Lonchura striata: one gene and its partner. The protein of the gene in region 1 purifies or fractionates together with the protein of each later gene. This does not show direct contact. Links are inferred from orthologs where the notes say so. Each region holds a gene or a part of one and is shown on either strand. Other genes may lie near its edges.

Region 1 (7,309 bases):
AACCTATTGACACAACACACTGAGTTGGATGGAATTTTCAAAGTACTAAACAGCACAGATATGAGATTTATTGACATATTTGGCTCTACAAAACATAATCTATTATGAAAATGTGATTTCCTTTGTGCACCTGCACTGGACACAGCTCAGTGGTGAATGGGGAGTGACCCACTGACTGCCCCCAGCCAGATGTGATATCACACAGGCAGCCTGAAGAAAGCTGGTTCAGCTTCCTCCTGCACTGCCTGTCCTCCCCAGCTCCCCCAGAACAACAGAGCTCAACACTTCCCATATCACTGACTCAGGAATTTAGTTACCAAACTAAGATTTATTTTGTTCTTGCCAAAGCAGAAGCACCTTAGTGAGACATGAACGAGGACTTGGGGGATATGAAACATCACAAATACCAACACCAGGGATGGGTGAGAGTTTTAAAATCAACTTTCAAACACACCACTTTACTGGGCACCTCAGCTCTTTGTTCTTCCAAACACTTGGGAAGGAAAGATGTTTTTTATACCAAAAGAATAAAACTTAAGCAAAGCATCTCTGTACTGCTGGACAGAATTTTCCTTTGTATCCATTTCCATGTGCACAAATACATGATCCAGTTGTCAAAGACATTTGGAATAAATACCAGAATGACTTCCAGAAACACTGCAAACTATTTTAGGCACAAGTTGTAAGGGATTTTACAAACTCACAGACTGCAGGAAAAAGAGATATCACCAAGGTGGGTGGCTGAGCCCCAAGAAAACCCAGAAGGCAGAAAGGCAGCAGGAGAACAACATCAAAAGCAAAACACCTGGAGAGCTCACAAAAACACCATCTCATAGCAGTGAGCCCTCAGCATGGCAGAGTTAGGGAAGGAAGTGTCTCTCACCTCTTTGGTGGCATGGTTCCCCACTACAGCTGCTCCGTACTTGCCTTGCTTCAAGTACTGCCCATTTGTACTGAAAGATAAGGGAGACATTCAGCTGCACGACTGTCCCTAACTCAGAATTCTTTAGAGTTCAGATCCCTTTCCTCAAGTATGAAATGTCAGGCAGTCTTGCTTAGCTTAGAGACATTCCTGCTCGCCCACAGGCAAGAGCACACGCTGTGCAGTGAGTTGAAAACTGCCCTCACAGATCCAGGGCAGAAGTGTTTTTCCATCATGGCAGCACCAAACAGTTATAGTGCTCTCTCTCATTCTGCTCATGCCTCAATTCTCAAGTGCATGAACCACAAGGATCTGACAGAGCCTCCTGAAGCACTGCACATCTCAGCCCAGCAGCCAGGACACAGCTCCCAGCCACAGGCAAACCCACAGCTCGCTCTTTATCTCAGAACCTCTTCACCCAGAGCTGCAGCTCAGCAACTGAAGTTTTCTTGAGCAGAACTGCCATTGCCTTGCAGCATTCCCACCATGCAGATATGTCTGAAAACAACTGTCTCTTCCCATTTATCCAGGGATATCTCCCCTGTGGGATGAGGGACACAGACTGCAGCAGAAGTCACTCACTATCGATACGCGAGCACCGCGGTGGCCACCAGCACCGAGGGGGCTCCTGAGGCTGCCGGGGCCACTGGAGCCTTCTGGGGCTGGCCTGTGGGGACAGAGACAGGGACAGCTGTCAGAGGCACAGGACTGGCTGCTGGCACCACCACAACACCTTCCTTCCCCCAGGGAAAAACAACTCCAGTAGGAAATTACAAAGAAACAAAGACTTGTGTTCCAAAGTCACCCAAGGGCAGCTGAAAATCCAGGTGTAGGAGGGCACTGGAGGAAAAGATCCCTGAGGAAAGCTCAGGAAATTATTTGCTCTCATGCTCTTCACCAGGGCCTCTGTTCTCCCCACACACATGTGCTGCTGACTGTGTTCCCCATACTCAAGCCCAGTTACTCACCAGCTGCTGTCTGACCCTTCTTGGGCTGCTTTGGTGCAGTGAACTGGAAGAATTCATTTCCCTGGCTTGAGACTGTTTGATCCAGGCCAAAGAGAGAGGCTAATCTGGCTCTAGAGAGGGAAATAAAACCATTTAGCCTTATTTAACATGGGCATTATACTTTGGAAGTAAACAAAGGGCTGCAGGTTAAGTTGCTTTATGCTAATTAACCATTTAATTTTGAATAGGCAGAACTTGTAGATGAAGAGGTTGGGAAAGTGACACAATTGTGTTTCATTTCCTCAAAAATCGACTGAAGGTGTAAGAACTGAAACTACACAAAAAAAGAAGTTACTTTGAAGCAATGACTAGAAGTAGCTTGATATGAAATAGTTGAGTCTTACAATACCCAAAATAATATTTGACAGAGAAACCACCATTCAGGTCCTGGAGTCTTTTGTCTTTAAATGTCCAGGCAACACATTCTTCCATTAACTTTTAAAATGGGAGACACTCTCCCAGCTAAGGACAGAGGGTTTAATGCTGGAGGTTATTCCTTCAGGATACATTGTTTGAAATTTCACAGCTTCAAGGCCAGTTATGCTCAACCTATTCCTGATATCACGGGGCAAGGGAATAATTCAAACAAAGGATGCCACCACTGCCAGTGAATCTCCTTTGAAACACAACTGAACTTTCTATAAAGAGAGACGATTAGTTTATAAGGAAAGCTCCTGGAAGGGGGCGGGGAGTGGAACTGCTGGAGCGGCAGCAAGTCAGCGATACAAAACCCTGGATCCCGGCGGAACCGCGCGGGTAGCCCGGGAGGAGCCAGCGGCGGAGAGCGGCCCCAAACCGCTTCCCCCACGCCTCATTCAAGCGCAAACACCGAGCTCTCCGCCCTGGCGACCCCGGAGGCTCCCAGGGGAGGGGTCCCCGAGCAAAGCGGAGCCCCCAGGCCGGGTCTCGAACCCGCCGCCCCGGGCACAGCGGGGCCGCTCCGAGCCGCGCCGCCAGCCGGACCCTTCTGGGCTGCGAGTACGGCGCTCCCGCAGCGGGACGGAGCGGGGCACGGCCCGGCCGCACCCCCGGCACAGAGGCAGCCCCGGCTGGGCAGGGGCGGCCTGCCCGCCCTCACCGGGGCCGCGGGCCTTCACCGGGTCACGGCCCCGCGGCCTGCCCGGGCCGCCGCGCCCACCCGGCGGCGAGGAGCGGCTCCCGCCGCGCCCCCGGCGCTCACCCGCTGGCCGGGGACAGGAAATCGGCGTCGTCCTCCTCCGCCGCCGCGAACATGGCCGGCGGCCGCCGGGGCGGGCACGGGCGGCGGCGGCGCTTCACGGCCCGGCGGCACCGGCGCGGGGGCGGGGCCTGGGCGGGACGTCACGGGGCGGGGCTTCGGGGCGGGGGTGCGGGTGGAGGCGTGGCTTAGCGGCGCTGAGGGGCGGGGCTTGACGTGACGGGCGGAGCTGCATGGACACATCAAAGGGGCGGGGCTTGTCGGGCACGGCGGAGGGCGAGACGGGGCTGCCGGGAGGGGCGGGGCTTGGCCGGAGGGGCGGGGCTTGGCCGGAGGGGCGGGGCAGGGCCGCGGGGGCGGGGCTTGGCCGGAGGGGCGGGGCTTGGCCGCGGGGGCGGGGCTGCCGGGAGGGGCGGGGCAGGGCCGCGGGGGCGGGGCTTGGCCGGAGGGGCGGGGCTTGTCCGGAGGGGCGGGGCTTGGCCGGAGGGGCGGGGCTTGGCCGGAGGGGCGGGGCTTGGCCGGAGGGGCGGGGCTTGGCCGGAGGGGCGGGGCTTGGCCGGAGGGGCGGGGCTTGGCCGGAGGGGCGGGGCTTGGCCGCGGGGGCGGGGCTTGGCCGCGGGGGCGGGGCTTGGCCGGAGGGGCGGGGCAAGGCCGCGGCTGGTGGCGCTGGCGCGGTGAGTGACGGGTGGGCTGGGGGGGAAGGTGGTGCCCCCCGTCCCGCCATCCCGCCTGAGGGGCCCACGGCCGCCCCCCATCCCCTCAGGGCGGGCCGTGGCACCCCGGGCCGGGGCGGCCCAGGGGCCCGAGCGGATGGGAGCCCTGGGACGTGAAGGTGGAGGCGCGGGGCGAGCTCGCTGTGGGAGCGGGCTGCGCTCCCCGGGAGGAGCGCCCAGCCCGGCCCTCCGGCTCCAAGGCGGGCCCCGCTGCCCTTGCCGCGAGGAGCCGTGGCCCGCCGGCGCTCCGGGCTGAGCACAGGGCCCGCGGGCTCCGCTGAGGGCCCTGCGGGTCGGCGGGCTCGGGCGGAAGGGCTGCGGGCACCCGGGCGCCGCTGTGCTCCAGCTTCGCTGTCTCTGGGATACCCACGGGCACCAGCCATGCGCTGTGTTCTTAGCACCGGCATCGTTTATTGTGTGGATAAACGTCTGAGCCGCCCCTCTGAAGCAGTTTCCCACGTTCACCTCGTACCTTGAGATATACACCTTTTTTTTTTGTTTGTTTAATGAGTTTTTTGTGGTGTGTTGTGGTTTTCCTGTGTTTTCCCTCTCTTGGAAAGCTGGTATCTCTATGTGCTTTGTGAGACCGACTGGCTTTAATTTCGCCTGAGATCCAAATGATGTTGAAATGCAGAAGAGCAATGTGCAGGAGGTCAGAATGGCACTAAGGGTTGGTATTTCCTGGCGTTGGGTATTTGCTGGCACTGGTTGGAAGTTTGTTCTGTCGGTTACTGACTGGATATTTCAGTCTGAACAGGAAGTTGCCCGGTCTGTTGTGGAGCTGAGTTCGCAGTAATTCAGGAGTTTTATTGCAATGATTGAGATATCAGTAATTCCACTTCTAAAGGGAGAAGATAAAGGGGAGTGTTACACAGCTTTTATATTGCAGAATGTGTGATGAATTTAGAGTGAAACCTGGATAGGGTTAGAATCTTATCTCTGTTAAAAATCCAAAACCAAACCCACAATAATTTGGTGTAAATTCCCAGTGGCATGAGATTGTCCTGACCTTGGTAAGGCCCTTGGTAAGGCAGGTGGGCATGAAATGCAGTCCCTTGGATGAAGAGAGTTTGTTGCTTTGGCTCCTGTATTTGTATCTGGCTGGTTGTTAAGGTAGTTTTAAGTGGTGAAGACCCACGTGGCTAAGTCCCGGTGTGGCACTTCAATTTAGGTTTTTTAGGTACAAGTATCACAGAATATCTTGAGCTGGAAAGGACTCATCAGGATCACCCATTGCAGCCCCTGTCCCTGCCCAGACCCCCAAAATCCCACCCTGGGCATCCCTGGCAGCGCTGGCCAAAGGCTCCTGGAGCTCTGGCAGCCTCGGGGCCGTGCCCATTCCCTGGGCAGCCTGGGCAGTGCCAGCACCTCTGGGGGAAGAACCTTTCCCTGAGCTCCAGCCTGACCTGGGTTAACCTGATTCCATTCCCTCAGGACGAGCAGAGCTTGGAGCTGCCCCTCAAGAGGAGCTGCAAACCCTGGTGAGTTCTGAGCTCAGTTTCCCCTTCAGGATGAACCAATCCTAGTGCCTTCACCACCTTCCTAGCCCAGTGTTATACCTGTGTATATTCTCTATTTTTTTTCCTGGGATTCAGCACTGGCCAGTTTTAATGCCAGTGGTTGGGAAGAGGCTGTAGCAGCACAATCTGCAGCACTCAGCAAGCATCGCATCTTATCCACTCATCTTTTTTTAATTTAAACTTTGTTCATAGTCCTCATCTGTATTTGAGTGTGCAGTGGGCTTGTGGTTGCACACAGTTCCCAGGCAGAGGCCAATTCATCCTGTTTGTGCCCAAATTCCAAGCTCCAGAATGCTTAGTCCTGCTTTTTTTTTTTTTTGCCCAGGTGGATGAAACACTCCTCACAAGTGTTTATTAAGTTGATTTTTAGTCTGTTTGATCTTAACTTGCCTCTATTTGAGCCTGAGGTCAGTAAAGCTTTTGCAGGATTTTTCATGAGTAACAATATGGGATCTGATAGGGTAAATTAGCCTTTAAGTTAATAATCCCAAATCCTGTAATTTATGATGTCATTTCCTGAGGCATTCATCAAGCTTTGGACTCAGCACTATTTTTTCCCCATCCTTCATTAAAAAGGGGGCACTGGGAATAATGTGTGAATGTTGCTGTTTAAATGAAGATTGGTTTTGTATTAAGGATTTATTGGTGAAGATGTGACTGCTCTGCTGTACAATACAAAATTATGCTTTTTGCTACAAAGACAAAAATTGTTGCAATAAGCAGGGTTTTGCTTCATTTGTTGTCCTCCCCCCAAAAAACAAGGTACTGAAAATATAAGAACTAGCAGGAGTTGCAGGCTCCCACACAACTTTGTGGTGAGAATGGAGGAATTTTGTACAACCATATCCTAATGAGATTTGGTTGCTTTTCATTTCATATCAGATTTCTCATCTAGGCCAGATTCTTAACTAAGCTGAGAATTAGGATAATTTCTGCCAGTAGAGAGGAGGAATTAAATCACCTTTCCAAGTCACTTTTGCACTTTTTTATTTTAAAGGTATCATCTCTGCCACTGATTCTGACTTGCAGTGGTACAAGGACAAAGTTTGTGGGGGGGAGGGGTTTGTTTGTTTTTTGTTTTGGAAAGAGGTTTGGGGGGATTTTTCACTTCACTTTTCCCTTCACAATGTAACTTCAAGATTTGGATTAGTGAGACCCTGTATCCTTGAACAAAAGCTTAATGCCTGAGAAGGGAGGTCATTGAGTATAATCTTTGTTAGTTTTATATTACAAGTAAATGACAAAATCTACCGTGTTCACAGGGTAAGTTTTGAGCAGGGCCCTGAGGAGTTTCCTTTCAGCTGGCTTGTTTTCCAGTCAGACATTATGTCCAAGAGAAGACAGAACTTTTTGTTCTTTGAACTAAAATGAGCTATTTTCTCCTTTCCTCCTTGGTTTCTCTATTTGCTGTGAAGACTCCTCTACCCAACAGAAAGCTGCCATGGCTCTGCAGAGCTGCCTTCCCTGCTCTGGCCTGAAGGTCACCTGAAAGTTAGCAGGAGCCTGCAGCAGAATTTTGGGAAGTTGAGCTGAAGCACATTGCCAGCATGAACTCCACAAGTCTGCCAGGAAATCACTGGGAGTCTTGGCAATTTTTTCTTAGGGAAAAAGACTGTTTTATGCTGTTTTTATCTGGAAAATTCAATCTTAGTTAATCTACTCCATTGCCTTTTGTTTCAATCTAATTTTCTGGAAATGTTCCCAATCAGGTCCTGGAGAACATGATGCCAGTGATTTTTTTCATTAACCTTTTTTTCATCTGAAAGCTGAAATCTGCTAATGCAGAGAATAATGGAACTAGCTACTGTAAACAAATTAAACTCCTATTTTATTGTACTTTCTAAAGCCTTTCATTTGTTGGTCCTGGAATTAGACTTTCCTGGTTTAGAAGCCAATGTAGAAGTGGGAGGTTGTGATGAAATAGCTCTCTTTTAGTTTTGCTTTTTTATTTCTACAGTTTTTTATGTAAT
Region 2 (8,039 bases), on another chromosome or scaffold:
AAATATTCTATATACAACACAGAACAGTGCAGGAGCTGCTGTGCTAATACAGGAGCTAATACAATAGTGATAAAAAGTTCTTCTTTTTAGAAAGTTTTATTGGCCCAAAAGACATTCCTTTGAGGAGCTGGGTGTCAAGACTGGCAGCAGGAGAAGTAAAAGATAAGGCAGGCTTTAGAGCACCATCTCCTTGGCAAGGCCAGAGCAGCCAGACAGCCTGATGGACACAGTGGTAGGAGAGGAGTGGGAAATCAGGAATAAATATTGGAAAATCCCACCAAAACAGGACACTGGCTGACTTGCAGCACTGTCATAGGCAGAAAATTGCTGTTGGAGCTTAGGTCTGAGAAGAAAGCAACAAGCTCGAGAGCCACAGTACCAGTTCATGCCACCACAAATTCAGCTTGATAAAATAACTGACAATTTTATGCTCAGTTTGGAACAAAGCACTTCTGACTTCACCTCTAATGACCTGCCCAAGGATTTCATCTCCTCACAAAGAATCCATCCTCAGAAGGAGGTCTGTGGGGTCAGGAATAGCTCTGCTCACTTCTCATCTCATACCTTTTTCCACAGCAACACCACTTTGTGCCTCTGGCTACTATAAATAAGATGACCACAATTGGCAAAACTCATAAAAAGAGATGTCTAAAATAGCATCCCTTGCCTTCCACTGCCAGGCTGCACAGGCAGACACAGATCTCAGGGAGGCTGATGAGACTCCTGTGACCTGCACTGGTGGACACAAGACAACTTCACCGTGCCCATCCACACGGCCACGTCACCACAGCAGTGTCAGCTGCCTGTGCCAAGGAAAGAGAGGAAAATAAAACAGCAGGACTGTCTCCTGTTCAAGGGTGGAAAAGGCCATCAGCACCAGGCCGCTCTGGCACTTTCATCTCCTTGAACAGAAGTTACATTTTAGCTACAGTTATTTATATTGTGAGCCTTTAACCACACCTTCACAACCTTTGGTTACTACCAAAATGGGATTGCAATAAATGAAACTGCTTAAAAGTCAGCCTTATTTTCTGAAGCTGACAAAAGCAGCATTTTCCCCCGATATTCTGAGCAACTGAAATTCAAAGTGGTGACTCAAAAATACGATCACAGCATTCTGAATGATTACCACAAGTACAGGTAACCGGTACTGATTACTTATAAAGAATTCCCAGCAGAAAAACCTGTACAAATAATACCACCTAATACAAAACTTTCTTGCCATTTAAGAACCAGGAAACAATGTTAGAGAAGGTGGATCTAATTGGAGATAAATACATTTGGCTTTTTTTTTTAACATTTACCTTTATCCATTATCTCTGTTTGTGTCCACAGAAATGCCACAAGTACCAGCAAGGTTCTGTGGAAGTAGGAATGGTCTAACAAATAATGTTTTGATAACTGGCCTGTTTTATACATACAGTGATTCACTGGTTAAGCAAATAACATAGTTATTTAGCAAAACATCAATTTATAACAGAGTGCCTAAAACAATCTTTCTGGTCTCCTACAGAAAAACAGTATTGAATGTCTCATATAGAGAAGAAAAACATCCAAAAAAAAACACCAAAGAAAAGTATTATATTCACTGCGCAGAAATAATTTCTTATTAAGAAGAAATCAATCTTATTACTTATGAAGCATCCAGATCAATTGCCTTGATTTTGAAACACTGTAAGAGTTTAAATATAACTTTAAAATTCCAAACACTTGTTTTTTCTTATTTAGGAACTTTGGAATATACATCGTGACCCAATGACTGTATTCTCCACCAAACAGCTTATTTCAAACACTTCCTGATATATTTAACTTCACACCTCTACCAAGCTGCATTTATAACTCCAGCTCTTCTAAAAATACGTGCACCAAAGCTTTCAAAGACTTCCTATACTTTCACTAGCAGTGAAAATCCTTCAGGGCTGTTATGTTTAAAATCTGTAACAAGTTACTTTGAATCATACGTTTGTTTCTCCTGCTTGACACTACGTTGCTCCATTTCCTATCTGACATGGCATCCCTCAGAGGCTCCACCAGAAAAAAAAAATAGAAAATATATAACAAAAACCCCATTTCACGTCCATTTGTTTCTTTTTCAGTTAACACCCAGTAGTTCCTCCCAGTTCTCCCTTATCACTCCTGACATGCCTCTCACATGCAAGCAGGAATAAAAAGGGCAGCCATAGATTAGCTTGTGCTTATGAATTTTATCAGGGCTTTAAATATCAAACAGGTGAGCTGCTTTACCTGCGCTGCATCACGTGAACGCACAATAGGGCAACAATTACCAACACCTGTCCTCCCTGCAAACCATTTACTGCTGACAATTCCTATCCCTCTTTGTCCTTGGACTTGGCTATCAGTTCCAGAACCAGGGAGCTTCCAGGGTGTAGCTTGCCGTCGCCTTGGAGCCCTGCAGCTGCAAGCATTCAGGATTCAAGCTTGTTTATGTTTTCCCTTGGCTAGTTCCTCTTTAAATCCTCCGGGAGGACCCTCAGCCGGGCTAAAGCAGCGACAGCGAGCCCGAGCCACGCACGCCACATTCATCTCGCCATGCGGAGCTGCAGATGCGCGATCCCCGAGCACGGCGAAGTAAACACGAGGAGCGGCAGGGCCGGCAGAGCCGGGAGCTGTGTGACAGCCCTGTCACACCGGGGGGATGGCAGCGCTTCCCGGTTCATCCAGCCTTGCCCGCGCACGGCCGGAGGCCGGGCCGAGGGACGGTACCCGGCGGCGGGGACCGGGCCCTGCCGGGGCCGCGTTCAAGGAGGAGAGACGGACAGGTAAATAAATAGATAAGGCAGACAAATAAATAAATAAATAAATAAGCGGCGGGGTGGAGCGGGGAAGGAGCCCCCCGAACGGCGCAAGTGCCCCCGCGCGGGGTCCGCCATGGAGGCGCCGCCTCACCGCCCGCTGCCGGGGGGCAGCGCGCGGCCCCGCGCCCCCTCCCCGCCGCCCTCCACCCAGCCCTCCCCCGCCGCCTCACCCCTCCGCAGGGCCTCGTCGTAGCCGAGGAAGCCGATGCGGGACTCCTTGGCGCCCATGGCTGCCTGCTCAGTCCATGGCCGCGGCGGCGCCCGGCGGAGCCGCTACCGACGGGGGCGGGGGGGCGGGGCCGCCCGGGGGGGCGGGGGGAGGAGGCGGCGGCCGCGCGCCCGCCCCGCCGCCGCCGCCGCAGCCTCCATCGCCGGCCGGCGTCACGTGGCGGCGGGGGGGGCGCGCGCCGCGTCACGTGCGGCGCGGGGAGGCCGGGGCGGGGCTGTGATTGGCTGACGCCGACCCCCCGCTCTTCCCTCCTCTCACCCCCCCTCCCCGGACGGCGCCGCGCGTCCCCTCAGGGGCGGCTGAGGGGCAGCGGCGGTCGGGGCTCCTCGGCCCCGGGCTCGCTCCTCGGCCCCGGGCTCCCTCCTCGGCCCCGGGCTCCCTCCTCGGCCCCGGGCTCGCTCCTCGGCCGCAGAGGAAGGGAGCTGTGAAGAGGAAAGGATTTTGCTCTGCCCCGGCACAGGGGTGTCGCTTGCGAAAGATGTCAGCGCTTCCTGTAAGCGTGCACCGGAGAGAGGAGAGAGGCTGCGGTGCCACCGGGCTCCCGGCGGAACGGCCTCAGGCTCGCTCCTGTGGGAGGGTGGGAGTCGCAGCGCCCTCAAAGTGCGCAGGGAATAGCTCCTCAATCCCCTCGGTCCTGACAGGGGATCAGCCCCTCCTAAACCTCGCAGGGATCAGCCCCTCAATGCCCTCAAACCGCACAGGGGGTCAGCCCCCCAAAACCTGACACGGGTCATCCCCTCAGTGCCCTCAAACTACACAGGGAGTAGCCCATCGATCCTCCCAGGGGATCAGCCCCCCAAAACCTGACAGGGGTCATCTCCTCAATGCCCTCAAACCGCACAGGGTATGAGCCCCCCAAAACCTGACAGGGGATCATCCCCTCAGTGCCCTCAAACTACACAGGGAACAGCTCCTTGATCCTCTCCACCCTCACAGGGGATCAGCCCTCAGCCCCCTCGATCTTCACAGGGATCAGCCCTCAGCCCCCTCAAACCGCACAGGGAACAGCCTCTCAATCCCCAATCCTCACAGGGAACAGCCCTTCAGCCTCCCAAAACCTCACAGGATCATCCCCTCAATGTCCTCAAACTGCATAGGGAACCAGCTCCTCAACACCCAAAAAACTCGTAGGGGATCAGCCCCTCAGCCCCCTCAAACCTCTCAGGCCACGGTGGTTCTCCTCAAAAAGTCCTCTAAGTCACAGGGCTGCAGGCATGGGGTGACAGTAGGAGGTTCCTGTTCCATTAAAATGTCTTTTCACTGTCTGAAACAGAAACACGGGCTGAATTGTAAAAAGATCAAAACCACCCCTGCCCTTTGCTGTTCTCCAGCGTGTTTGCTTTTAGTATTCAGCCCGGGACTGACACAGAATGGGAGGATTTCCAAAATGGCTTTGTTACAACATTAAGCCTGGTAACCTACCCTGGGTCACTCCCGAGCAGAAAATAAGGAGTTTGAAAGAAAACACTGATTTCTAAGGGCAGCTTGTTCCAAGAATTGTTCCTGTGCTGAAACAAAGCCTGTGAAAACACCAGTTGCAAGTCATTCCCTAAGTTACTGTTTCCACACAGAATGATCTTGCCACATCAGGCTGCAGAAAGGTCAAGCCGGAGTTGCTGTCTCACTGATGTAAGTTCATGCGTAGGTATTTTTACAGCAAACATTCCAAACAAATTTCATATCTGATATGCAAAGCCAGGAATGCTGCTTACAGAGACACGGGCTCCAAGGCCAAATTTCTCCTCCTGTAACCCAAGAGCAAACACACTACAAGTGAAATAAGCTCCATAAAGCTTCCTTTTATCTTTTCTGAACTGTTTTTTATCTTAGATTTGTGGCATATTAAAAAAAAAAAAAAAAGTATCATTTTCAGGAATAAAATCTGCCACAAAGACACCTTTTACCTCTCTTATGTGGATGAGGGGGAGATTTAAGTTATTTTTAAAAATATAAATTAAATTGGTGGAAATATACTTCACTCATCAGCCACTGGTTATGTACTTATCATTTAAAGAGTAAAGGTAAATGTAATGTCAGTTAGCTAAGAATAAGAAGAAATAAGCACCCTTAACACACACACACACACACACACACACACACACACATATATATATATATATATATATATATATATATATATATTCTTATTCCTGCCCTACCTTTACATATCTCTTCTTAACATAGTTCCTTCACCAAGCAGCTTTCAGTTTAGATACAAAATAAACTTTAGAGCATTTGAGAATTAATTCAACAAGCATGGCAACATGTCAATCAAAAGCATAAGCTGGCAATACCAGCAACAGCTGGAGAAATATGGTTTATCTTGTGATTAAGTGAAATATTCCATGGTCTCCCTAAAGCCATGCTCTGTTTGTGATGGATCCCTTTTTCTTAAAGTATTAACTCTCACCCGAGGAGATGGGGTTTAATTCCTGGCTTGTCTGTCGTGTTCCTGTGTGACCTCACATCCAGGAATAATATTTTAATGTTTTGGTTTCTGCTCTGAATTACAAAGATAATGACCAAACCCCATTTTGCCTGGAACGAGCAGCACTGGGACACAGCCAGCCCCAAACTGGCAAAGCAGTTAGAGAAAGCAATTAAAGAAGGAAGCAGCTTCAGTGGTGGGGTAAGCAGCTCCACACCAATTCCTGCTGGTTTTCAGGCCAGTTTCTCCATGACTGTTTATCCTCAGGCTCTTACTAGAGAGCAACAGCCAACCCCTGAGTACCAAGGCTCACCAGAGACCTGACACAACACTGCCAGGCCTGTTTTGTCTACACCCAGCAGTGAGGGACCCTGCCAGGACAACTCTGACCCGATGCCTCTGCAGCCACCACAGTTTGAAAAATTATTCCATTTTTATCTGTGATGTCAAGACAGAACCTCTGCTTACAGTTCACACAAACCCCACTCTCAGGTAGTAGAGATTATCAGGCAGTATAGGGGGTTTAATGACAGCAAAATAATGAAAAAAATTAATGACTGAAATTATAATTACAAATCAGCCACCAGCTTATAGTCACAAACAGCTGACTGGGTATTTGGTGCAAATGAGGAAGCAGAACCCTCTAGCAAGGAGTTCCTTCCACTGTGGGAAGGAAAAGGGATTGGAGTGATAGTTCTTAATAATGGTTAACATTTCCTATTAACCAAAAAAACCCAGACCTCTTTCCAAAGAACATGTATGTCACTTAAGAAAAACCCAACTAAAGTGGTATCCCTCATGTCTCGGAGGTACAGGCGGTGTCCAAGAACCAGCTGAATTTTGTTTGAAGAGCACTTCAAAATCATTTACTGGATCCATTGTACACACAGTGGCCTGCACCAAATTTAATCACAAAGATACTCTGGATTGGAAAGCCAGGCTGGAGGCTCCCGATGGCAGTGCCTTTGTTCAGATTAAATTAAGCATGTTCTCAAAGGCACTGAAGCAAGAACCCAGAGATAAGGCTGTGTGTGCTAACCCTGGATTAGATCTGGCAGTAAGTTTTTACTGAAGCCTTATTGGGGAGCACAAGATTAGATGTTGCTGCTATTTAAATGCTGTGTCAAAGGTAAATCAAATTAAGATACTGAGAATTTAAACTTACATTAGATGAATTGAGCTCCTGTCTTGCCATGGAGAAGTGCTACGTATGCAAATCAAACTGGGCACGTGTCCTTTGGATTGCTGGAATTTATTTAATTATTCGCTAATCAAAAACTAATTCACAAGCACTTAGCAAATATCTTTAAGTGTCTCTGCATCACTGTCAAGGATCTGAGCAAAGCAGGTATTTACTGCTGCACAGGAGCAGCGGGAGCCTGGCAGCACAGCAGCTGTCGGGCTCTGCCAGGGCTGCTGCAGTCCAAGGCTGCAGGGAAAAATCCACAGCCTCCAGCTCTGCTCAGCCCACAGCAGGCAGCTGCAAGGAGAAGGGGTTTGGAGCCCTGCTGGAAAGGCCTGAACTCAAAAGGGACGAGCCAAACAACAGAGAAACTGCTGCAGTGACTCAAAAACACTTCTGAGAAGAGCACTGTAAGGCCTTAGGATTTCCTGATTCATGTTCACTAAAACAAATGCAACTTTGTTGTCAGCCTCTAAATCGGTGCCTCTTTCCCCAATACCCGTCTCCCCACCCTGGGATATTGTTCAGTTTTAAAGGACTCTTCTTAGCACTGGAAAAACACAGGACAACTTTTACCCCTTCCTGCTTCAGACAATCCTGACAGGAGTGTGGCAGAGCACATCTCAAATATTTGAGAAGAGTAGAAAGCGGGGGAGAGAACAAGATGCAATAAGAGGATTCAATCAGGTCTGCAGTGGTCAGAGCTAAATGGTTTCATATCTAATTACAGTGAACTGGTGAATGAGAAAAATACCCCGAATCATTATCTACCAGTCTGATTCTGATGTTATCAGAGAGGACATACAGAAGGCTTCCTCAAAGAACAACAGAACAATATTCAAATTGAAACTTCTATCACATCCCACATTTTCTAGGAAACAAGTGGCTTAGAGTGGATGATAGATTTATATGAACTTTGGGGGAAGTAAAAGGAGCAGAGTCTTAGCAGGTCCCTCTATTGTTGTCATGTAAACTGTACTCCCACACTATTGCCAGTATGAACTTTGTAGTGGAATACTGCAGGGGAAAATGAAAAATTTAATTAAAAAAAATTAAAATGAAATTAAAGTCTCTTGTTGAAGACACTTGTTAATGAAGGCAGTGCTCACCAGAGCTGCAGTGTGGTGTAGCCAGGGGACTCTCGGCGTGAGATGATTGAGGCTTTTTCCCTCATTTCCAGTTTGAGGGCATTTCTCTTTTCACACCTGCCCTAGAGATCCCCTCTTCCCAGTACTCTCATGACTTTTTGGAGCAGCTGCCCATCTCCACCCCTGCCCCAACAGCCAGGCCCTTGCCCTGGCATCATCCCCTGCTGCTTCCCGGCAGCAGCGGACACCTCATCCCCTCCTTTTTCCTGGTGAGTTCCAAGCGGGGCGGGAACAC

The links.
Region 2: the proteins of SLC31A1 (region 1) and USP32 purify together in Homo sapiens (co-immunoprecipitation; 3 studies listed by BioGRID and IntAct, with this or other methods). This does not show direct contact. The link is inferred for Lonchura striata from reciprocal best matches to the Homo sapiens genes SLC31A1 and USP32.

What each region holds. Positions count from the first base shown.
Region 1 is NC_134624.1:4,672,490-4,679,798, forward strand, and holds the start of SLC31A1 (high affinity copper uptake protein 1), read left to right. Parts: upstream 1-4,105; 5' UTR 4,106-4,447; coding exon 4,448-4,489; intron 4,490-4,561; exon of another isoform or gene 4,562-5,300; intron 5,301-7,309. Other genes in the region: FKBP15 (FK506-binding protein 15), read right to left, coding at 884-953, 1,505-1,589, 1,891-2,000, 3,110-3,162.
Region 2 is NC_134622.1:9,920,607-9,928,645, reverse strand, and holds the start of USP32 (ubiquitin carboxyl-terminal hydrolase 32), read right to left. Parts: upstream 3,108-8,039; 5' UTR 3,045-3,107; coding exon 2,987-3,044; intron 1-2,986. UniProt on the Homo sapiens protein: Deubiquitinase that can remove conjugated ubiquitin from target proteins, such as RAB7A and LAMTOR1.